2 linked regions of the Tribolium castaneum genome follow. The protein of the gene in region 2 interacts with the protein of the main gene of each other region in a pairwise test. Links are inferred from orthologs where the notes say so. Each region holds a gene or a part of one and is shown on either strand. Other genes may lie near its edges.

Region 1 (12,850 bases), on a different chromosome or scaffold from region 2:
AAAGGAGCTATCGCTGTGATGAAAATGTGTAAATGTAACGTGTGTGATAAAACATTTCCTTCAAGATTTAAGTTATATAACCACAAACGCACCGAGCATGTGGCTCCTGGTGTTTGTAACGTCTGTGGCATGATTGTGAGGTCTGATAATCTGAAACGCCACGTCCAACTGCACCTGGAAACACCAGTTGAGTGCAAACACTGTGGCAAAGTGTTCAAAAATTCGGAATCATTACGAGGACACATGCTAATCCATCGAGGAATCATTTACACTTGCGAGATTTGCGAAAAAACTTTCAAAGTCAAAGCGGAATATAAAAGACACCTGAAGACACACATAGGTCTGGTTTCAGTTTATTTAATTTTTTTCCAACTTATTTGTTACAGACCCAGAAATTGGTAAAGTTATGTGCACAATATGTGGAAAAAGAGTCAGAGACATGAAAAAACACATGCACAGCCACACGGGTGAACGGCCTTATATGTGTGTTTATTGCTGCAAGGGCTTCACGAGCACTTACTCGCTCAAAGTCCACACCAGGCAACATACTAATGAAAAACCCTACGTTTGTGAGCACTGTCCAATGGCCTTCCCCCAAAAAGTCTCACTAGTGACTCACATTAAATCAAAACACGGTGTAACGTAAATAAAATAAAACGCTATATACTTAGAAACAACTTTTATTTACATAGCACAGCTGTCTTAAGGCAATGAAAAAAATCGCATTCATTTGTTTCCCACATTAAGGCATTAATTTAATTTGGTAACTATGGTAACGAGCCACATTGAAGCTCTGTGACCCACCAGCAACTTCTTTCATTGTTCCAGGAGCTGTTAAAGAAAGCAATGAAACCCAATAACATTAAAGGATTATGCACAACAATATAAATAATAGCTTAAATCGGTTTATATAAAAGAGTAGTAACGTATTTCTTGCGGTATCTATGAGTGGCGCTAAGTACCATGACTCCATCCTTGATGGATAAGGCGTAAAGGTGGTTTAGCATTACGTGGTTGGGTTCAGGTAAGAGAGTTGGTTCACACTGCAAAAAATATACCTTGTATTATTTACGATAAGAAATACTCTTCTTCAGTAGGCCATGAAATTAAAGGTGGATTTAGATTTCTACAACCTACTTGATGCACACTAATATAATATGAACAAAAGGCTATAACTGATTTTTTTATCAACCAATTGAGCGTAAAAAATCTGAAAAATCTTCAGAAATCACAATGTTTGGATTTTACATACGATTCAAGAAAAAAAGTGCAAATTACCGAAAGTGGCGTGTCCTTATTCAGAATAACTTGCAGTAAGTGCGGGGGCAATATGGGGGGCCCTGTGACCTTCTCCCATGGCTTATTGGCCGGTATTTCCTGCGAGAACTCCTTCTGCGAGTCATTATTGGCATTTTCGCTGTCCTTATCCAGGGCTTGAAACACCTCAAAGTCGGACTTTTTCACCGTAATAAGATTATTTTTGACACCGCTTTCGTCCTCCACCATTTTATTCCCAGGGTCGTTCTTCCACTCCCCATCAACGTAGAACTTGTACTGGTGTTCCCCTTCTGGCAAGTCGATGATAGTTACGAAATCGCCGTGGCTTTTCACCATAGGAATAGTTTTCCACTCCGTAAAAGTCCCACTGACGTAGACGTCCTTACCCCCGCCTTCCCATCGGAAAACCGTCGGTGTCTTGTCACTGGTGTTGACTTTAGTACCCTCTGACACAGTGTTAGCTCGCGGTCTCTGGTGGTCGAAATCGGCCGTCACGGGGCGCGTGAAATACGGCTCTTCGTCGTCTTGCGAGCTCTGGTACAGCAACTTGTCCGGTTTTTTCTCGAAAACGAACGCTTGGCCCTCTCTGGAGGGGGACGATGGCACCGTCTCGCCATACTTGGGGCGCTCCCGCGGCGCTCCGCCACTGCCTGCATTGCCCATTTTACACGCTTGAGCCCGAGTTTACCAACATTTAAAGCGCTAACAATTTATTTACACTGTGTACAAGTTTGACGTTCGTGACAGGCCTAACCTTGAGAGCAACCTTGAGAGTTGAGAGGGGAGATGGAACAACCTTGAGTGGGAGAGAGAAAGAGCAAGCCTCGTGTGCCTTGTGGCTAAGGCCTCACAACCAATTCGTGAAATAACAATAAAAGTTTCTTGCTAAATGTTGTAATATTTCAATGGTGGGCACCCGTTATCAAACTAGGGCGTGCAAATTGTTGGATAAGCGCGTAATTTTGGCGTAAACCGGGCCAAATGCGTGTCCGTAGCCACAACCAAGCTGGTGTTTTGACGGAATTACGTCACGTGGCGTCGTTTTTGGCGTCGGTGGACTAGAAAATTCCCTAATTAAAGTGATAAATCGATAGAAGAAAAGTTTGGAGGGAAGGAAAATCGAGTCAAGAGCCCCAGTGAGTGAATTACTAGTTTGTGGCAAAGTCTGGTTAGAGCAGCCATTTTAGGTAGGCGCCGGAAACAATTAGTTGTTTATCTTTGATTTGGTGAAAATTGTGAAAATGCGCGACAACGATCAGGAAAAGTCGCAGTCTCCGGACCAGGCGGAAAAGCGGCGAAGTCGGAGCACCTCAAACAGTAGCAAGAACAGTAATAAGAGCAAACAGAGCCGTTCCAGTTATTCCAAGTCACGTTCAAGGTCCCGGAGCAGGAGCAGTGAGGCCGATGGTTACAGGCTCCACATTGCTGATATAGGGGACGATGTGCGAAAATCCGACTTGGAGAAGGTTTTCGCTCCTTTCGGAGACTTGAAAGAGGTCTGGATGACCAACAGTACGCCGTGTTTCGGCTTCGCCGTTTTCAAAGACAAAAAGGCAGCTAATGCAGCTTTGAAGGCCACGGACGGGATGTAAGGGTGAGGTGGTGGTTGGTTTCGTGGATTATTCTTGGGATTGTAGCGAAGTGGCTGGGAGCAGGATTAGGGTGACCCATGCCAGGCCCAGAACTAGGGGCTCAGGGAGGAGGTTCTTCAATTCTAATATGAGATGCTATCAGTGCGGTTATTCCGGGCATTTTTACAGAGACTGCCCGGAATTGAACGGCGGAGGCGGCGACAAGCGCGATCGCAATTCACGGTAAAGCTTACTTTCGGTTTGATTACGAGACAAAGCATTTGTGGCGGTTGAGGTTCATTGTGGAAGAGGTGATTATCAGTTAAGACGTCTTTTAAAATGGGAATAATGTTATGCAAGAATATTTAACAGTCACAAAAAATTAAAATTAGGTACCAAGTCTAAAATTAAGCCTTCTCACAAATTCAATTTAAACATTAATGATTTTTGGTGACAGGGCTTAATTTTTTACTTTTGACCATAGATTAGTAATTACTTTGCGATTAAAAAAAAAGACCGCTCAACTGATAGCTGCCCGGGGCACTTAGTGTGCTTTGTCTCGTGATGGAGTTTCTGTTTCCTTTCGAAGTGCACCAAGACGTTTTACCTAATTGTTGTTTTGTGATTTGTCAGGCACATGGTATTAATTTATATGGTTTGGTTAAGCATATTATATGGATTTGTTTGATGGGTGTCCATATATGCCAGTTGGTGACTTGGTGTGGAACTGACATAGCTTTTTGGCCCTGTATGAGTCAGAGTATGGTGCTCATTATGGTATAAATATTTTTAGTTACGATTCGCACTACGATCGGTCTAGACGCCACAGAGATAGAGACCGTGGTGACTACTACGAGAGGGACTATGGACGAAGACACCAAAGGTCTTCACGGAGATACGACGACTACAGGAGAAGCAGTCGCCGTCATCGTTATTGATGACTTTTCTTCAAGGGTATTTATAGATTATTTAAAAGAAAATATTGTTTATTTCTGCATTTCCATTGTGTGTTTTCTTCAAGTAAATGAGTGTTGTTTTCACAAGTGTTATTTTTGTTTATATTGTGTATAATAAATTGAAAGGACCCTACGTTTGTTCCGCGGTGGTGAATGATTTAAAAGACACCACTTACTTACCTTTCCACTTTTCCATACCGGCACAACAAAACAAACTTGGAATGCGACCATGAGTTTCAAATTATATACGTAAAAATAACTCAATTAGCGGTATTACGAAACTGCGCATCATAGAAAGATTTTTTATTTGAAGACGTTCTCAAAAAATAACAATTTTCAAACTACATACATTACGTCAGTGACTCACACAATAAATAAATGTATAAAAATAATACTCTGTAATAAGCAGGATTGATATAGACGTCACGCAATGGCAAGACGTGTCTTGTACTTAAACATTACGGCAAGCATCGGCTCATCTTCGCGAGGGCCCTTCCTCTAGTTTGCGCCAAACAACCTGCGGTAATTTTCGTTAAATTTTATAATAATGAGTTAACTTAACTCACATTGCACATTTCTCTGACGAGGGCTTTTTCCCCATCGTCCATGTCTTGAGACGTGCTGTCTGACATGTTCTCCGTCCTTTCGGGCATCCGCCCTTCCCTCTCCAACTGTTCTCGCACCTCGAGGACCTGGAGGGCTCTGACGACGGCTTCGGGGCGCCCTGTGAGCACCCCAACGCCCGCATCTGGCGGAATAGCAATACTAGAATCGCCCGTTGTTGTCGCAATCTGGTTGATTTTATGAGTCAGAGCGCGCTTATCTTCCTCCAGTTGCTTAACGCGCTGCTCCAGGCTCCTAACGTATTGCATAATTTGATCTAAAAACACTTATTAATAAAATTCCAACAAGAAAAATAACTTCGCACCGTTGAAAGTGCTCCTTTGCCTTGCAAGATTCTCGTGGAGGATCCTCTCCCGACTGGCGGACCTCCTCGGGGGGTTTCCCCCATTTGTGAACTGCTGGGGAATCGCCGGTTCGTCCGCGTTAGTGCTCGAACTCGAGCCGTCGCCGTCGTCCCGGAGGTTCCCCGTGGGGGCGCTCCCGCAGGCCGGGCACATGGAGTTGCCGCCTCGCTCCTCGTCCAGATAGAGACACAATTCCTTCAACTCCAAGTTGTCCTTGATCAATTCTTGCTGCTTGTTGTCCAACTCGCGTAATTTATTTTGATAAGCGGAGACCTCCTGGCGCATTACGCTGGCGGTGTAACGGCCGAATCGTTGCCATTCGCGGGCCAGTTTGCGCCCTTTCTGGCGGTCGTCGTCGAGGAAACAGCACAAATCCCTCAACTCCTGGTTATCGTCGGCGAGGCGCTGGTTGGCCTCTTTGAGGGCGCGCAACTCGCCGAGGATGCTCTGCATGTGCCGGTTGGGGTCGGCTAAGCGAGGGTCGTCGGGTTTCCGAACGAATTTCAGCATTTCGGGACGGAGGAACTCGTCGTCGTAGCGAACTGGCCGGTGCTGGACCTGGGGCACGCCGGGCTCGTCCAGGGGCCGCGGCTGGTGCACCTATTTTTTTTTATTTAGCAATTTGCGTTTCAACCTCATTTGAAAAAATGTACAAGTAACGTAACAATTACGTGATTTTTCGTGTTTACTTTTTGAGGGAAATGTCGCAAAAAATCGTTTCTCTCTTATAAAACCAACTAAATCAAGCGAAACATCAATCCGACCTTCATCAAAAATTATTCGCGTACTAGAGGAAAATTTCGCCAAATGAGTGTTGTGTATATGGCTCCGGGTGATTAGTTTTCGACTGTGATTTTTTACCGAAATTCTCTTAGACAATCCAAAAAGGACATAAATTTGGGTTTTTGCACTATTTTTTTACGAAAAACGAGATTAATTTTACGAAAAAGTGCGTTTCAATAGAGAAATATTACTGGTGCATTTAGAAAGCAAAAATAATATAATTAATTAGAATACCGGAGATGTGAAACCTGTCAAATTATTATTATAAATACTAATGAAAAAGTGAAAATACAATGCTTATTATACACACAAAAATTCGAGAAATTTGGTGGCAATTAATTAGTAAAACTTTGGTAATCGTCTGAGTTTTACTTTCATGTTTAGTTCTTCTCTAAAGAAAAAATACAACTTTCTGGTTTCACTTTAAGACATACTTTTGTCGATAAATGGGATGAATAAATAATTGTAGTGTGTTTTTATTTCGCCTCTACAGACCTGCACTTGTGTGGTGCGTTCTGGATAGTAGGGGTAGTTTTTTCCGGGCTGTGGCAGCCTCACGTTTTCGGGTAGTTTGGGTGCGGGATAAAGTTTGGCATCTTTCGGGTGGTGTTTGAGGATGCCCTGGGCCCCAGTGGGCGGTAACGGCGGCGGCTGATATCTCGGGGGTGCAGAAGTGGCAGAATCCGCTGCTGGTTTCACTACAAAAGGCTGTTTCTTATTGGACATGTTTAATAACATGCCACCGTAATCTCTTAACGCGAACTGGACATATTCTGTGTGGCTTTTAAACTGGATGTAGGTCACAGAAGTGGCTCACTCGCGTCACATATTGAAGGAATTGAGATATTTCGAGTTGGTTTTTTCGGGGTCATGCACGAGAAATTACTATTTTGGGATTTTGGCACTTTTGGGCACTGTTTAAACGAAATTAGCGCGATTTCAATGGCAATGCGTATTGGGAGAGTGAGTAAGTCAACATGGCCGATGTTACTTTACATGAGGCAAACACTCTAGTGGCAGGCCGAGGTGAAGCGAGCCTCGAGCCGGACGTTCACACTGCCAGAGTCAGGTAAATGGAAACGGATTAGATCTCTGGTGGCTTTGTTGGGAGACGTGGCAAAAATAACTTTTTTTTTACCAAAAATGCGAAGCTCTTTTCAACAGCAGTCCCAAGAAACAAGCAGATTTCAATCTAATAGAATGTAAACCTGAAGCTGAAGTTAATAAAAATTAAAATTTAAATGGCCAACTCACCTTCAAAAAATCAAAAAATTGATTTTTTAAATTTGTCGCTCGAGCTATATCTACGGAACTATAAGACGAACTCCATTAAGTTTATTATTTATTATTATTATTTATTATCTATCTTTTTCAAAAACACAAGATGAGTTTTTGATTTTTTTTGCCTAAAATTTTAATGGTCAAAGTCAAAGCAAATACCTTCACAAAAATGATAAAAAAAATTATACTCACTCTAGCAAAGTTTTATAGACTTTTATAAGTCTTAACAAACCTCTAGAGTTGTTAAAAGTCCAAAAAAAAAACATTTGTTCGATTTTTGATGTTGAATGTTTTCAATTTTTGTCGCGATTTTGGTCGATGTCGGGTACCCGGAACATTTATCGAGCAATAGCTCCGGAAATATTAGAGATAACCCCTTGAAGTCTATCATTGTTGGAAAGCTCTTTAGATTATCTATTTTTTTCAAAAAAGATTATTGTTCTCCGGCTAATAGTTTTCGAGCAAATTGCAGATAAAAGCAAAAATTGGTAAAATTTTAAAAAATTCATAACTAAAAAATTATTGGGAATTTGGCGATTTCCTTCATGCCAATCGATTCCCCGGATCATTTTGCATAGGTAGGGGTTAAAATAGTTTAACTTTTTCGAATAGTTTTGTCGTAATTGAGAAAATAAACAAATGAAAAATTTATTATTGTAACTGAGGTGTATTGTAATAAATCGCAAAAAATGCTAATTATAATACGTAACTTACAAGATTATGCCCAATTGTAAATATTCTATTAAATAATGCATAAAAATAGCCATCGGTTTGGCTATTTACACATTAACTGTATCACATACACAAGAACTTCGAAAGAATTGTTTGCAGAACAACAATGAACCGTTTGTATTTCTGTTTGTTAATTTAATAAAATGTTAAGTTAATTAAAAAAATGAAATGGAAATTTAAAAAAAGCTGCCTCGCAGCCCATCCCTGGCGGGGATCGAACCCACGACCTTTGGATTAGAAGTCCAACGCGCTATCCTCTGCGCCACAGGGACGTTGCATAAAGCCTTGCGAAGGCGATTTAAATTGAACGAACACAAGCAACCAACATCATAACTATTTTATTACAAAAAAAATTGATAAACTATGCAAAAAACCTATTCAGAACTGCGTAAACCAGGAATGAAGTAAAAAAAAGTGACCAACTTTTGAAAACAACAAACGTTAAACAATATGAAAAATCGGTCATCCGAAAATTAAGTCCATGTGGGTTTCTTGTTCCACTGGCATGTTTACGCCTTGACGTAATGGAGGTGTAAAGTTGAATCTAGGCAATAAAACACCCGAGATTAGCTCACTTGGCCATGGCTAGGATTCACCGTTTCATTGGTCCTTTGAGATTCACCTGAGCTTGAGGGCTGCTTTGCAATTAAGATCCCAGCGACGATAAATCACTCGCACAATGTCGTGTGAAGACGACTTTTTCGCCCAAATATTTCGTTACATATTGAATTCTCGCGTTAGATAATTGCCAAGTTCCCATTATTCTTCTTTAACAAACCAACTTAATTACCATTATCTTTCCGCCCCATCGCCAGACGTTTAATTTCCTCCCACCATATTTTATTAGCACCGGCGGACGTATAAATAAAAACGCGTAAAAATTGTAATAAAAACTTTATTCTAAACTTAAAAACATACAAAACAATCATTCAACATCTGAAAATATCCAGTCTTCATTTACATCAATCCACGGCTTGGTTGTTCTTTTTTCCCTGATGATTATTTCTTCTCTCCCCGTCCATTCGTCATCAGAGGGCGTTATTTCTGGGTTCCGCACACGACCAACATTAACATTAGGTTCCTCATAATCCCACGTTTCATCAACCAAATCAGCGTCATAAAAATCATCATTTCCGCAAACGCTGCCTTCTGATGAAAGCCGATCATCGTCACTGCTGGGAACCTCCGTTGGTGGAACCCTCGGACCGTCAGCTCTCCCATCGTCAAGCATTTGGCGGAAAGAATCCCGTTTTTCGCCATATGTTTTATACAGCGACATATCGACATAATTCTGCTCCAAATCGACGAATTTAATTCGCTCGATTGAATTTGGAAACGTCTCAAGTTCATTATGATACAAATCCAAAATTTCTAACTCATTCGTGAAATCATCCACTGACGAAACAAGATTAAAAGATGCTTTAACGATTCGCAACTTCGGTAAAATCGCTAGTTCTTTCGGAATTCCGCAAATGGAATTATGAGACACATCCAGAACCTCCAAGTTTGTTAAATACTGGACCTCTGGCGGTATCCAGCTCAGCTCGCAATGACTTAAGTGAAGCTCAGTCAGTGACACAATCCAGAAAAGTCCGTCCGGGATAATAGACACAAGTATGTGGTCCAACTTCAAAACTTTCAGTTCTTTCCATTTGGTTTTAACGAATAGTTGAGTTATGTCTTTAAATTCGTTCTCCTGTTTTGTTAATTTGCAATTGGTGTTACCTATATCTAGATATTCTAAGGTTGATATACGTTTGAAAAACTCGAAATCAACGTCAAGCAATTGCGAATTGTTCATTGTAATTTTTTTGAGCGTTAGCTTACGTGCCACGCTCACGCTGGTCAAAAAATTGGCACTGTAATCAATTTCGATTAAATTGGGGCAATGACAGGTCATGATCCAGTGCGGAAAATTGTAAATTTTGTTATGGGACAGTTTTAGACTAACAATATTGCGACTACAAGCCGGCTCGACATCAAACGTTTTGATAAGATTATGAGACAGGTCTAACACTTGCAACGCTTCCAAGCCGGAATACAAACAACTAGGCACTTCTTTTAGTTGATTGTGGTTCAAAACCAAGCGCTTTAAATTTAATTTCTGTACATCGCGCGGGAGTTGGCTAATTTCGCAATTTTGAAGATGCAAAGTTGTAATTTTAGTCAATTCAAAGGTGGTAAGAAATTCATGCAACTTACAGAGCTGCACTCGCTCCCCGGTATCCTCAGTGCAATTTTGCACTTTAAGGGTGTTATCACGGGTCGGGACAACGGACACAAACGTATCCTCTAAGAACATAACTGCAGGCAAATTGTTAATGTATGTAATATTTTACCTGTAGTTAAAATCTCTTGTTGGACGTTTTTCATTTTATTTTGACAATTAGGTAATTAGGTTAGGAAAATAACAACAAGCATGTCATCCCCACCTGTTGACCGATCAGCGCACGAGTTGGCACGAACTCAGCCGTCTTTTGAAATTTGCCCGCGTTGTTTAATTAAAGTGGAATCAATAAATGCCGCAATTTTGTTTATAATTGGAGTGAATCAGTTCTTTACAAAGGGCAATCAATAAAGTTGGCAACTGTGCCGTCGTGCGTGACTCGCTTCTTGGAGCGTTGATGATCCTGTTTTGCATTCCGAGTGTAGAGAACATCGGATTTTTTGCATAAATATGAGATTCTTTTAGTGGATACCGCTTCCACACGATATTATAAAACAAACTTCCAGATACATGTCATAAACCTATCCAAAGTAAAAACTGATTTTATAAATTATTAATAAAAGTACAACGTATACATCGAGGTAAAGAAAATGGATTATTATGTTCTAATGAATTATTCCGATTTTTCGCTAACTCTTATAGTTGGCAATCTTTTTTTACATATTATATCAATTTTTCACAAGAACTAAAAATTTAAAATTTTTTGCTAAAAATTAAGATAGGCAACATCTATAGTGAAAAATTTTATTTACCAAAAAAAATTCATAACTCGTAAACTAAAAGCGGTTTGTTTCATTGAATTCAGCGGCTCATTTTGCGTATGAAACCATTCTTTAACAAGATGTAAACTTTTAAAGTTTTTTGCTAAAAATTAAGATAAATTAAGCATCTACAGTGAAAAATTTTATTTACCAAAAACAAAAAAACTATCTGATAGCGCTTAATTTTATCTATTTTTTCATCCAAACCCGGAGCCGTTCCTGGCAACGGTTCCGGCAACAGAGGCGATCAAAGTTTTTCACTAAAAAAATTCATAAAAAAAAACTAAGAGTCGTAGAGCATGGCGGTTTGTTCGATTGAATTCTACGGCTCATTTTACATATTATATCAAATTTTCACAAGAATTAAAAATTTAAAATTTTTTGCCTAAATTTAGGGTAGCCATTTGTCATAGTGGAAAATTTTATCCAACAAAAAAATTCATAACTCAAAAACTAAAAGTCGTAGAGCAATGCGGTTTGTTCCATTGAATTCAGCGGCTCATTTTCTGTATTATGCAAACTTTTCATGAGATTTAAAAATTTAATTTTTTTTGCTAAAATTTAGGGTAGCCATTTGTCATAGTGGAAAATTTTATCCAACAAAAAAATTCATAACTCAAAAACTAAAAGTCATAGAGCAATGCGGTTTGTTCCATTGAATTCAGCGGCTCATTTTCTGTATTATACGAACTTTTCATGAGATTTAAAAATTTTATTTTTTTTGCTAAAATTTCTTGAGAAATAAACACTTACCTTCAAGAAAGTGAAAAAATTATTTTTTTTTAAATTCGTTCTATCATACTTTTTCGCATTTATATATGCCTTTACAACACTCTAGAGTTGTTAAAAGTCCAAAAAAAGTCCATATGTTCGATTTTTTGATGTTTGATTTTTTCAATTTTCGTCGCAATTTTTGTCGATTTTGAGTACCCGGCACATTTGTTGAGCAATAGCTCCGGAACTATCAGAGATAACCCTATGAAGTTTATTATCGTTGGAAAGCTTTTTGAATTATCTATTTTTTTCAAAAAAAATTATTGTTCTCCGACTAATAGTTTTTGAGCAAATTGCAGATAAATGCAAAAATTGGTAAAATTTTAAAAAATTCATAACTAAAAAACTATTGGGAATTTGGCAATTTTTTCGATGCCAATCGATTTCCCGGATCATTTTGCATAGGTATGGATCAAAATAGTTCCACTTTTTTGAATAGTTTAGTCGTAATTGGGAAAATAAAAAAAATTAAAAAAAAGTTAACACCCCCCCCTTCAAAATGGTCAATTTTAAAAGTGTCTCAGAATCGAATAAAACTTATTCTATTTTATAGCTTTTGATGTGCTCTTTACGATGGAAAAAAGAGTTTTCTCCTAGCTCTTTTAGTTTGGCCGTAATCGGCGATTGAAAATTGAAAAATTTTCTGCGAGATATCGCCTTGAGTCCTATGCCATTTTGTAGAGTTTTTTATTCCGGTTGTCCTCGATTTTTCCGTTTCTCGATAACTCTAACAGTTTCGCCGTAATTGGCGGTTGCAAATTGAAAAAAAGTGAAAATGGAAACTTTTTTTGCGTTTTTCTCGGAAACTGTAAGACTTAGAGCAACGAACAAAAAACCATCTGATAGCGATTAATTTTCTCTATTTTTTCGATTAAACCCGGAGCCGCTCCGGGCAACGGTTCCGGCTACAGAGGCGATCAAAGTTTTTCACTAAAAAAATTCATAAAAAAAAACTAAAAGTCGTAGAGCATTGCGGTTTGTTCCATTGAATTCAGCGGCTCATTTTACATATTATATCAATTTTTCACAAGAATTAAAAATTTAAAATTTTTTGCCTAAATTTAGGGTAGCCATTTGTCATAGTGGAAAATTTTATCCAACAAAAAAATTCATAACTCAAAAACTAAAAGTCATAGAGCAATGCGGTTTGTTCCATTGAATTCAGCGGCTCATTTTCTGTATTATGCAAACTTTTCATGAGATTTAAAAATTTAATTTTTTTTGCTAAAATTAAGGTAGCCATTTGTCATAGTGGAATATTTTATCCAACAAAAAAATTCATAACTCAAAAACTAAAAGTCATAGAGCAATGCGGTTTGTTCCATTGAATTCAGCGGCTCATTTTCTGTATTATACGAACTTTTCATGAGATTTAAAAATTTTATTTTTTTTGCTAAAATTTCCTGAGAAATAAACACTTACCTTCAAGAAAGTGAAAAAATTATTTTTTTTTAAATTCGTTCTATCATACTTTTTCGCATTTATATATGCCTTTACAACACTCTAGAGTTGTTAAAAG
Region 2 (12,369 bases):
GTTATTACGTAACGCTAAGTTGTGCTGTTGACACACTTTTATATTTCATATTAATTAAGAAAGTTGTAGCGAGTTAATTGAGCCAGTTTTGCACTGTCGCTACTTCCAGACGCACTTCCAAGTCAATTTGCTCGACTCCTCGCTGGCGTACTCGAACGTGACGGTGGAGATAAGGGGCCCTGATAACAAAGTGTATCCGGTGAAGAACCTGAGGCAGGGACGGGGGGTCTTCGTGCCGCAGAAGGTTGGTATGCATGAGATCGTCGTCAAATACGAAGAACAGGAAGTCGTCGGCGGTCATTATTTCCGAGTTTTGCCCCAACTTGTTGAAGTAGCGCCGCCCGGGATGGCGCCGTGTGCGTTGGGGTCGCTGGTCCAAGTCCTGGTCAATGCCACAGGTTTGCTTTTGCTTTTGTGAGCGACTGATTTGCATCGTGGGTGTTTAGGGGCGCCGAGGAGGGAGGATATTCTAGTGACGGCGTACAGCCCCACAGGGCGGCCGTTGAATTGTCCATTGACTACCATCGATGGGACCAATAGTGCTACCTTCAAGCCGGACGAAGCCGGGGAATGGAGGATTGAGATTACGTATCAAGGAAAGCAAATACAGGTAGTTATCCGTTTCGATGTCAATTATTGATCAATCACTTGACAAAATTAACCTTCGTTATATGACAAAAGAACTAGTTTTACTTCCTCTTGGTTTTTAAGTCTCACGGGATTTATCATCGAGGGTTTGATTGATTTGAAAGATTATTTCTGACGTATCGGCTCAATTTATTATTCCAATTAGTTGCGTTCATTTGATGAATTCGAACGTGCAGCGATTTATTAAAATTAACTCGACTTGTGTTTACCATAAGTAAATTATAATAATTGCGGTGAAGTCAATGATGAAAACATTTTGTATTGAATTATGTTTTTGGAGTCGTTATTGGGCACAATTTTTTTTTATAGTTTTTCGTGAAAATATCCACGATTAAGTCGCTGTAAAACATTTTGTATGTTTTTATAAAATCACTACTCTTTTGGTAAGATTCAATCTTGCTGTAATAAACGAATTATGAAAAGAAAAGCGAAATATAATAATTTTTGTTGGGTAGCTTTATTTTAAAATCTTGAAATCTAGCCTGAAATCGTGTTCGTATATCCTTTCAATTCATATTTGAATTTTGCAACAACGCATTTGCATTTTTTGGAGTGAAATGGAGCACAAATTGAGAGTATCTATTTGTATTTGACGCTGGGATTTAGTTTAACACAGAATTCTTATAGAAACTTTCAATTTTTGATGTATTTCAATCCAAAAAATTCATATGCGTTGTTGCAAAATTCTACTAAGAACTGAAATTCGTTTAATTACGTTTTTTATGCTCGCACGTATAAGTTAAATAGCACCATAAAAAATGTAAGAGTTGTGCAATGAAAACTGTAGAAATACAAGCACCATAAAACGAGAAATATGAGTACGTATGTACGAAATATGAGTATCCTTAAAACTGAAAATTAAATTTCTTTTTTCTATAGCAGGTGATAAAGTACCTATGTCTTTCTTTATCAATTTTTTTGAGTGAATACAATAGCACTTTAACCAAAAGGGTAGATAAAATATTGAATTTTTTATTCAATTAAATTTACAATTTGCAACATTTTAATTTGAAGGATATACGGATTAACAATAATTTTTTTCTCTTAAACTTGAAGTCCTGCTATAGAAAAAAAGTTGTATTACTTATACACGACGATAAAGATTGTTTATCTATCTACTCCTGAAATAAGTCCACTTGTGACTTCGTCCACATTAAGTTTTAAAAATTGTTGTTTTTCTATCCAAAAAGCTAAAAATTGATATGAAAATACATTAAAAAAATTCCATGGTTACAACTGTAACTACTCTACAACAATTAAAATATAGGTACGGCGAAAACACTGAAGTACTGACAATGATCAATATATGCTGCCAATTATATGTTGATAAATTTGTTAAAAATGACACTGGGTATTTTGATAGATTTTTTAGACGTTTTCTGAAACGTTTTCTAAACAGAGATAAGCAAAAGTATGAAACCAAGGGTTTTGTGTCTAAACTATGTACGAAAAACAAATTGGTACATCTAACTAACTTTAAAAATGTGATCATTTTTAAAAATGTTTTTTCTTTTAAATGGCACCCTACTACGGCGATTTTTTTGGTAAATATTATGCTCTAAAATTGATTTCTAATACAATAGTATTGTTTTAAACCAGTGTTTTTTCAAAATAAATTATTAAACTAGCACTACAAAGATTTTTCGAAGTTAGTCGTAAATGTTGTATCCATGTTTTTCTTGGAGTAAATGTAAATTTTTTACAACCACATTGGCCAAGATCAAAAAATTTTTGCAATGAACTCGGAACGCAAATTTAATATTTTTATTAAACATTTTTAGGGGATTCTCTTTTACCAAAAAAAATAGCAGCAATAGTATGCCATTAATTTTTTTTGAATTTTTTTGAGCAACTCAAAAATTAAAAAAAATTAAAAAATATACTTAAAAAATTATCACATTTTTTAAAGATGTACTTGATAATGTACTAAATGGAGTAATTTTATCTGTAAATTTTTTGCGGGTAAGGACATCCATGGCGATACAACCAATTCGGCAAAGTTCGAAAATTTTTTGTAATAAGCTCGGGGCGTCATTTTAATATTTTATTTTAATTAATTAAAAAAGTGTATACAGTTTTCTGCTATATTTTTTTCCAAATTTGTATCTGCTTGTAACTTCATTCTTTTTATCAGTTGATTTTCTCTAAAATTCTGTAATGTCCTTGACTTCTCCTGAACAATTTATTTGAATGAAGCAACAAATCCAATTCTAAGCACAAGTTTTCTAAAAATGCAAAATTTGTAGTTCTGAAAATTAAATTTAAAAACCTGAAATAGTTTTTTTGCACTAGACTTGTAACTATCACCTTAATTTTCTAAATATTATTAAAAAATTAGCTTATATTTATTTAAAAAAAAACAAAACGTAGTCATTTTTACGACTTTTTTCAATACCTAATATTACGTTGCCACTGACTTTTTCTATAGACATTTTACTGTAGCATTTACTACTCAGGCTTTTTTTACCATTACTCTTCGTCAATTTTCTATAATATTAATTGAAACTACTATGAAAGTTCTTAAAACTCATTATCCAAAAAAATTAAGAACTAAGTAAAAAAGCGAAGTAAAAAAATACGTCGAAAGGTAAAAATCTGATCAATAATTAATTTTAAATATGCAACCCGTTTATTTACTTGGTACTCGTATTTTTTTTAATCAAAATAAAGACATTTTTGCCGCCTCTAAATTTCTGCCGCTCTGGGCTATAGCCCATTTATAAGTATGCTACTGTCTCACGAAACTTTATCGAGACTCCACCACAAGAATTCAGTTTATTTTAACATTTAACTTTTTTATTTATAAACAATATAATAGAAAATTTAATCTTTCCACAATACTGATTCCAAGCATAAATCTTATTCTAATTTGACTTCGTAATGCTTGTTGATTAATGACAGTATTGCAAATAAAGAAAATCAAGGCCGAACTTGCCTTGTTTACATCCAGTTTTAACACAAAATGTAGGCTTTCAGCATTCACGTTTACTACTCATTGTTTTAAATAACGAATTGTACTAGCAGCTAATTGTCTTTTATTGTTACACTTAAGTAGTTTACCATTCGTGATTTCAACATTTGTAGAATGTATTGAAATGGCAACTTTTACACAATAATTTCGTACTTGTCTGCTAAAAATACAAAATTCATGCATAATTTAATTTAAATATATTGTTTACACTTCACTAAGCTGCGTTATTTCGTTTTTAATAAATGTAAAATGCCTTTACTCTCACTCGTTTGAGTCCAGCACGCAAAATATTTAAAAATAAATAATTAATAGACTCAGAGTATTTCTTTGGCAACCATATATATCAACTCACAAAAACATTCTTTATTCAAAATAGTTGTTTCGTAATTTTGTTTTTTCAAGTCGTGTATGAGACGAATTTTTGCTTGTTTTCAAAATCAAATTAATTTCAGGGTGGTCCTTTCACATGCTCAGTCTTCGACCCGAACGGCGTCCAAGTCTCCGGCCTCGAAGGCGCCCTGCCTCTCGTACCCCACAGCATCGACCTGGACTGCCGTGCTGTCGGCGTCCCTGGCGAAGTCTTCGCCGACATCGTCCACGACAAGCGCTCGGTCCACTGTCGCGTCGAGAAAGTCAACTCTTCGAAGCTCCTCTACCGTATCCACTTCACCCCCAAAGACGTGGGCAAGCACCGAGTCTACGTCTACTTCAACGGCTACGACGTCAAAGGCTCCCCGTTCATGATGCGCGTCGGCACCCAAAAGCGCTCCAAGTCCTCCAGCAGTCCGAGCCCCAACTCCACGTACAGACAAAGCCCAACTAGTCGATATTCAAGTTCTAGTCCAATCAACCACGTCAAAAACGCGACTTATAGCAATTACCGCCAAAGTGCCAGTCCGGTGTCGAGTGAAACCCACAAATACGCACAAGAGTATCACAAAATGTCGGTGGATAAGCGAAATTCGCCGAGTTTCAACGACCGGACGAACAGTCCGAGTTACCTCAACCGGACTAATAGTCCCAGCTACATGCAGAGGACCCAGAGTCCGAGCTACAACAGGTCGGATAGTCCTGACTACATCACCAGTCGGAGACTCAACGAGAAACGCTACGACACCGCTAGTCCCAGCTTTGCCAAGAAGGCAGAGTACGACTCGAGTTACACGTCGAAGATGTCTTCCATGCGTATTTCCGAGTCCAGGAGTCCGAATTTTTTAGAACGTTCTAGTCCAGATGTTGGTTATAACTCACGGTACGAGAAACGGGTCACTGAAAGTCGGTCTTTTAACAATTCGTATGATCACAACGACGGAATTGACACTAGTCCCATAGTCAAAGTGTCGGCAATCGCAGACCAATCATCCGCCAGAAGAGACTCCTGGGATGCTATTGCAAAAACACGAAATATTCTATCAGAGCGAAGTCTTGAATCAGTGGCCAATTTAACCGACTCCCAACTAGACGCCGACCTGCGACGGAGAAAAGTGGAGGAACACAACCGAATGTTCACCCAAGAGCACAACTACACGTCCTCACAGAAATACTCGAACAACATTGATATTTATGGGAGGAATTCACCGTCCACAGGACACAGGATCGGGGTTAGAAACGGCGGAGCGTCCGCTGTTAAAGTTCAGCCGGTCCCTGACGGCGTCCTGGGACAACCCGTTGAGTTTGAAAGTACTTGTGATACCTTTAGTTTAAATTTTTGGTAGTAATGAGTTTGAAATTGCAGTTGATGGGAGCGGTGCCGGCTCCGGTGATTTGGAAATTCTGGTGGAAGGTGGTCGGGTCACGTCCAGTGTTAGGAGTCTGGGTGGACAACGGTTTAAGGCCGCTTTTACCCCACACCAAGCGCTGCCGCATCGGGTCGATATCAAGTTTAACGGCGAAACGGTGCCAGGTAAGTGATTTTTTTTATGGAAATCGCCGATTTTGGAATGGTGTTGGCGAAGAGGCCCACACTTGTTTGCGTGGGAGTTGATTGTGTTGTGTGACACAGTTTTTGAATTGGGCCAGGGTCGACGGAGTTTATTTTAATGGGTTTATGATTTAAATTGTTTTTAACCGATATCAGGCAATACAAAAACATGGATATTGTTTCGGTTAAGAATGTGCAGATGTAGATTGTTGCAGTTAGGTCGTACTCAAATGGAAATCTATGATTGATTTATGTCTCTCCATTAGTTATCTTAAAGTTATGAGATTCAGCGATGTGGCAAATAGGGTTATTATGTCCATATAAGTCAATCTTTAACATAGAGATGCGCATAAATCTTTCTAAGTAAACGTGCTATAATTAACAGGAGGAGAGATTGCAAATCGGCAAGGTGTGGCTAGGTATAATAAATTTATCATTTTGACAGTATTGATACATACGTATGTCATACCCTATTTATTTATTTGTACAAAATTTTTCCTCATTTTAAACGACTAAAGCTAAACTGATTAACATTAATAAAGATGTAGCACAAAAACTAGTAAATACAATAGGTGTACGTAAAATGAAACGTAGAATCCGTCGCAAACTGTTTTACTCTAAGATTTTTACTTTTCGGGTAACAAATTTTTTTTGTCAAAACTAAAAATCTTTCTGTAACCGGAGTCGTAACCCGGAACGGCTTTAGGTTCTTACGAGAAGAAAAATAATTTAAAGCGCATTTTGATGCTTTTTTGGTTTTTGCTTACGTATAAGTATTCCGGGGAAAATGCAAAATGCGTTGAAATGTTTACAGTTTTTACTTTTCAAGCGGCGACTATTGGAGTTAGCGAAAAATGTCAAATACTATTAGAACCGGGTTAAAAAACTACAAAATCGTATGAATTTTAAGACAATTTCTAAAAAAAAACCATTTTTAAATGCTGATTATGGCGAAACTTTAAATGACTAGAAGAATTTTTTTTAAGAAATTGAAAGACATTTGGTTTCGTTTTTGACCATTCAATTTTGTGATAAGCTTATTACAAGCATGATTTTTTTCATTTTTACATCGTAAGGAGCACATCAGAAAAAGCTAACAGAGAGAATGGATTCCTTCGATTTTGGATGCTTCCAAAATTGGATTTTGTGTGGTGGATTTTTTTATTTTTGGAAGCTTTTATTTAACTTGTTTTGTTATCTGTTTGTTTGTTTCTGGGGTTCCTGTTATGCGAACGAAATGGAATTTTGCATACACACGTAATCTCCGTGACAATGCAATTCGATTTAGTTAATTCCCCCAAAACGGGGTAAAAGGGGTTGTTGAAATCATTTTCGACAGAGTTCATATATGACATTTTAAGAAAAGTAATCAAAAAATATGTTGTTAAATAAATAATTAGAAAAAATGAAAGAGATGCGAATAAGATAAGCGAGGTTCAAGGTTCAAAGTTAAGTGACAATATCTTGAAAATTACTACTGCAGTTTGCTTCTTCAATATGTGACATATGCCTCATGGAAAACAAATCCTACAAGCAGATGAGCAAATGGGGTTGTTTAGGATGGGTAAGCGATCTAAGTAAATACCGAGATAACGACTAAAAAATAAAAAAACAAAAGAACTGTTTTTAAGGGAAACTTTTATTTAAAAATGCTCTAATAAATAAACAGTAATGTTTTTCTATCACTGGAGATAATTTTTGCTTACAGATTAGGATATTTTATAAAAGCTTTAAGAGTGATCTTAACACTACTTATACCACACTACAAAATTACTTTCTTCAATTGACCAATGTTCGATTGTTTCCAAAGCTTTTATAAATTTTGGAATAATAATGTGGATGCAAAAATATTCTCCTATGATAGAAAAACAGTATTTTCTACTTTTTACTGTATTTTTTAAATAAAAGCTTTCTTTAGAAACATATTTTTTGTGTTTTTTTTATTTTTTATGTTACGGCAAAAGCATTACATCAAAACTATTTTGATGTAAACGTATATAAAATGATTTGGGGAATCGATTGACGCTGAGCAAAATGCAAAATTTATTAGGTATTTAGTTATCAACAGATGTAAATTTTAACTATTTTTGCTTTTGTTAGCAATTTTCTCGAAAACTATTAGTTGGAGGACAACGATTCTTTTTCAAAATTAAAAAGATAATAAATTAATGGGTTTACGTTTACATGTAATAGTTTCAGAGTTAAAAAAATCTGAAAATTCAAACTTTCTAAAATCGATATTCGATATTTGCTGAAAATATTTCCGAGGTTTTCATAAAGTGATTCATCGATAAAGATATATACAACGTGAGTGAGCTAATAGTATTTTTTGCTATATCTCAAAAAATGTACAGAAATCTGCGTTTGCTTTAGCAATTTTACTCGCAATTTTACATTTTTTATAATAAATATGTATTTACTTAATTAAAAATATTAATATGAATAAAATATTATTCGAACTAAAGTTTATTATTTTTAGTGTCATGTTAAAACAAATTCCTAAATTAAAAAAAATACGTAAAAAAATTTACGATAGTTCTAAAACTGCATCTCTTTGACTTTTTGTAATTTTTTTTTATTTTCCGCCATTTTTATGCTTTAATAGGCATCTTAAAGCACTCAACGTCATCAAGTGCGATGTCACAATAGTCATTATTTGACGGAAAATTTTACGAAAATTTTTAGGTTGGCAAGAAGCAAATTCGAGACCGTATTTTTGCTAATGTCACAAATTTCAGGGGGTGTTCATGCAAGATTACCTCCATTGTCATCCAAACTTTTGTTTTTTGACACAACTTTAATAAAAAAAATTTAAATCAATTTTTCTTTTTCAAAATTGAGATATTACCAACTGTCACAATTACCTAAATCGACTAAAATAACATTTTTTGTTTAAAAACGGCAAAAAGGGGTCAAAATACAAAACATAATATAAAAAACTAATATCATAAGATCTTAAAGCACTCATTCTTTCAAAAAACTCGTGGCTAACGCCACTCGTTTTTGAAACTGAATTCGTACTTTAAGGTTGGTCTTATGAAACTTGTTTTTTAATATACTATTATTTTTTAAGGCCAGCGCCAATTTCACTGTGTAACAAAAAGTGGAATTTATGTGTAATAACTAACAATAATAGTGTTTATTAAAAGTGTAGGTCTTTCCGAATAATTTTTTTGGTGCAATTTATTTCTAGTGTTGAAAAAAAAATGGGGATTTGACAATGCAAAATTTACGTTATCTATGAACTTGGTCTCTTATATTAAAAATTATATTAAAATATTTAATAATTATATTAAAAATATTTTAAGAAATTAAGAAAAAAGTCTGCACTTAATCTACTGCTAACAATAAATAAGAGGGATTTTTTAACTTTATTTTTCCAGAGCCTATGCGCCATTTTATATACACCTTCTATATAGAGAAAAATAAGAGGTATTTAATAGACAAGGCATCGGAAAAGGCTGATTTCTGTATATTTATGTTGTTAGTATTTGAGATACCTACGGTGAAAATATACTTTTAGCAGACTCACCTGGTATACAAACAGCGGAAGAATCAAAGGAAACATACTACATTCTAAACTGTTTACCGGGATTTTTAAATGTCTTAATTAAAATGTTTACATTGTTCCAAGCATTGTCCAATTATTTCATTATGTTTATCTTCTTCTCAAAAATATAAAATTCATTTCTGGGTACCTTTTTTTCGTAATGTGTAATCCGAATTTAAACAAATTTAATTAACAGCAAAATTTATGCACAATGTTCCGTGAAAAGTATTTTAACGAGCACATTGTAACATATACTGTTCAGGTTTTAAATGAATTTCTTTATTTAGCAATAACAAAATAGCCGCTGTTTTAACAATGTTAGCCTAGTTCGCGCCAATGTCTGTTAACATTTATTCCATAAAGCGTAAAAATTAAAATATTATCATTAATAAGTAATTTTGTGATCTTGCTTCGCATTTCATCGATTTGAAGAAAGTGAAACGATGTGCAAAATTTTTGTGTCTAGCGTTTTTGCGTGATTCAGCGATGTGAACGTCCTATAATTTTGAACGCGCTTCAAATGCACAAACACGAGAAACAAGTCCAGTGTCTCCAATAATTAATTCCACGTTTATTAAAGCATGATTGCTCTAATAGTATAATAAACGTATTTCTCATGTGTTACTATAAGAGAGAGCATATTATATAAGCATCTGCACATTTCTATGACCTAGTAATAAGTTAACCGGTTACACACAAAGCCAGCAATCTCAGAAACAATGTAGGGAATTTCACCGATGACCTCAGAATTTCTATTCGATAATAACCCGGCCCTGGTTCCAAAATCCGGAAACGAATTTTTCTTTGCGATTTGCCACGGTTTCTGCAAATCCGACTTTGAATAAATTTGCATTTTTCGAATCGGCAACAACGTGACTAAAATTAAATGCCAGCAGGCAGTTATTTCTCCTTTTTCCGCTTTCATCTTACCTGCGCGCAGGTTCAATGGCCCACTGGGTCTTATTTATTTCTGAAATAAGAACGACCAATGGAGCGTTTGTTTACGTCCAGGAAATTTAAATCTGGATGTCATTATTCATACCAAATGGTTCCCCGATCACTGAAGCGACGCTTGTGACCATCGGCCGGAACCAAACGTTTAAATCAATGGCGTAGCGATTTAGGCGCCACAACAATTACTCTAGCTAATTGTTATGACCTGGACTTTGAACTAAAGTCCAATTTGAAAGAAACAAATTGTTTTTTTCGTGGTTGTTAGAACCAGTGGCGGTTGGTGCAAAATCAGGAATCAATTTATGTTTTCTGACGGACGCCACTGCATCGCGAGTTACCTGTAGTTAGCGTAGGAATGTCGCCCGCCTCTCTCCCCGCCCACTGTTGTGGTACCCACGACTTCTACCAACACTAACACGGTACCAGTACCAGCCGCGTTACCATTACCGACGTTCGCTTCGCGCTGTCGTCCATTTTCCGCGAAAACCGGACTTTTCCGGGGTACCACCGAGTCGAAGTGCGTGCGATGTGCGGTTCCGGGTCGGCCAGGCCCCAGTTTGAAGGGTTTTTGTGGTTTTAAGGGAGTCCATGGCATGTTAACATCATGTCGAACTCAAATCTGTCAGTTTTGGGCGAAACCACCAGATTGGTGCCGGCCAACACTTCGGCCGTTTTCGAAATCATAACAAGTACCAATGTGGCGCCCGACGATTTGATGGTGCATGTGATTGCGCCCAGCAAAAGGTCGGTGCCGGCGAGAGTGCTCCCCGGAAATCGCACCGGAGTTCAAAGTGTGGAGTTTGTGCCGACGGAGGTCGGGACTCACATCATTGAAGTCACCGTTAACGGGGAAAAGTTGCCCTCGGGGCCCTTGATCGCCAAAGTGTACGATGCTGGGCTTATTCAAGTGGCCGATGTCAGTGGAGGGGTTGTGGGACAGCCCGTGCAATTTCGAGGTAAGCTTTTAAATAAATGCAACATTTTTTAATTACGCGATTATGGTACTATTGTGAAAGTCCCGGGGTTTGATTTATTGCCGAATTAATATTTATGCGACCATCCGAGCCAGAACTGGCCAAAATTTTCAGTTATTTGTAAATCGCGCCAGGAAGAGGGTGGTACTCCTAACTATGGTGAGTCTCTTGATTACTACTTGATCGGCAACCTGAAACCTTGAAATTGTTCAGGTGCAGTAATAATTGTAGAAAGTACTGCATTGTTTGTAATAAGTCACTGTAACATATGTTTATTTTTTGTTGCAAACACGTTTAACACTTGTATCTCGGTACTTTCGCAAAAGACTTTAATCGTGTTATTAAACTGAATGGGTAAAGGATACGCCTTTTCCATTTTTTGTAATATCCTCTTGATCGCAGGAAATTCTTTTTTATTTGCTCATTGGCAGGAAAGTAATAACCTTTGCTTATTGTGCAAAGCTGTAATTTCGTTCTCTCTATAACCTTGACTCCTTCATCAAGTCTCAATTTTTCTTGTAGTACCTGATTCCCTGGTGTATAATTAGACCTGCTTCGACGAAATCTGCGTTGCAGTTTCTACCCACCAGGAGTTATTTTTTCATTTAGGAAAACAGCTAAGAGTCTTGATAATGTTACTACTTGTGGGAAGTTACCTGCTTGAAATAAAGCAACTATTTTATAATCATTAGACTAGTCTGTCTTTAATGGTAGATGATTAATGTGTAATTAGGCTTTTTTAAATTCCTATGTAATAATAACCTCTGGGTTTCATAAACCGGTCACATTAATATTCAAGACAGTAGTCGATATAATTTTTATTCTAGTAGAACCACTGGAAAATTGGGTTCTTGAATCACAGATAAGCACTAGCGTTGCAACCAATGAATAAAATAATAAAATGTAACTGAAGTTTAATCATACCAGAACCCAGGCTTTACAGACATTAAAATTACTACATGTTTTTTTTGTGTAACTATTTTTGTTGTTGTTTCCATAATTTTTTCCTAATTTTAAGGATGATTTTCTGTGATTTCCTCTGATTTCCTCTTTATACCACTTTTCTCTGCTTTCTTGATAGAATATTTACCTCGGGAATTCAAATATAAATCGGAATTTGTTTGTAACTTTTGACTGAAACAAAATTTTAACAAAACTTTTTAAACTAGGTACTTTTCCACGTACAGTACGTGGAACAACACATACGCCATCCCTTTGATAGTTTCATATCATAATACTTTTTTTTATAAAAGTTTTTTGGCCTAGTGCTAAACCACTTATGTACAAGAAGTTTTACTGTGCTTCCCACTCGATTTAAATATGAAAGGAATCTTTTTAAATTCAATAACAA

The links.
Region 1: the proteins of jbug (region 2) and alc interact in a two-hybrid assay, tested with the Drosophila melanogaster proteins (2 studies listed by BioGRID). The link is inferred for Tribolium castaneum from reciprocal best matches to the Drosophila melanogaster genes jbug and alc.

Annotation. Positions count from the first base shown.
Region 1 is NC_087402.1:2,228,794-2,241,643, forward strand, and holds alc (5'-AMP-activated protein kinase subunit beta-1), read right to left. Parts: upstream 4,050-12,850; 5' UTR 4,002-4,049; coding exon 3,986-4,001; intron 3,939-3,985; exon of another isoform or gene 3,788-3,938; coding exon of another isoform or gene 3,643-3,787; exon of another isoform or gene 3,538-3,642; coding exon of another isoform or gene 3,483-3,537; intron 3,093-3,482; coding exon of another isoform or gene 2,916-3,092; intron 2,867-2,915; coding exon of another isoform or gene 2,520-2,866; exon of another isoform or gene 2,466-2,519; intron 2,415-2,465; exon of another isoform or gene 2,188-2,414; intron 1,929-2,187; coding exon 1,279-1,928; intron 1,044-1,278; coding exon 897-1,043; 3' UTR 665-896; downstream 1-664. Other genes in the region: zinc finger protein 69 homolog B, read left to right, coding at 1-340, 387-646; uncharacterized protein LOC100142195, read left to right, coding at 2,520-2,866, 2,916-3,092, 3,643-3,787; leucine-rich repeat protein soc-2 homolog, read right to left, coding at 8,495-9,861, 9,909-9,942.
Region 2 is NC_087398.1:12,982,558-12,994,926, forward strand, and holds part of jbug (filamin-A), read left to right. Parts: intron 1-109; coding exon 110-398; intron 399-446; coding exon 447-610; intron 611-4,071; coding exon 4,072-5,299; intron 5,300-5,354; coding exon 5,355-5,522; intron 5,523-10,625; coding exon 10,626-11,000; intron 11,001-12,369.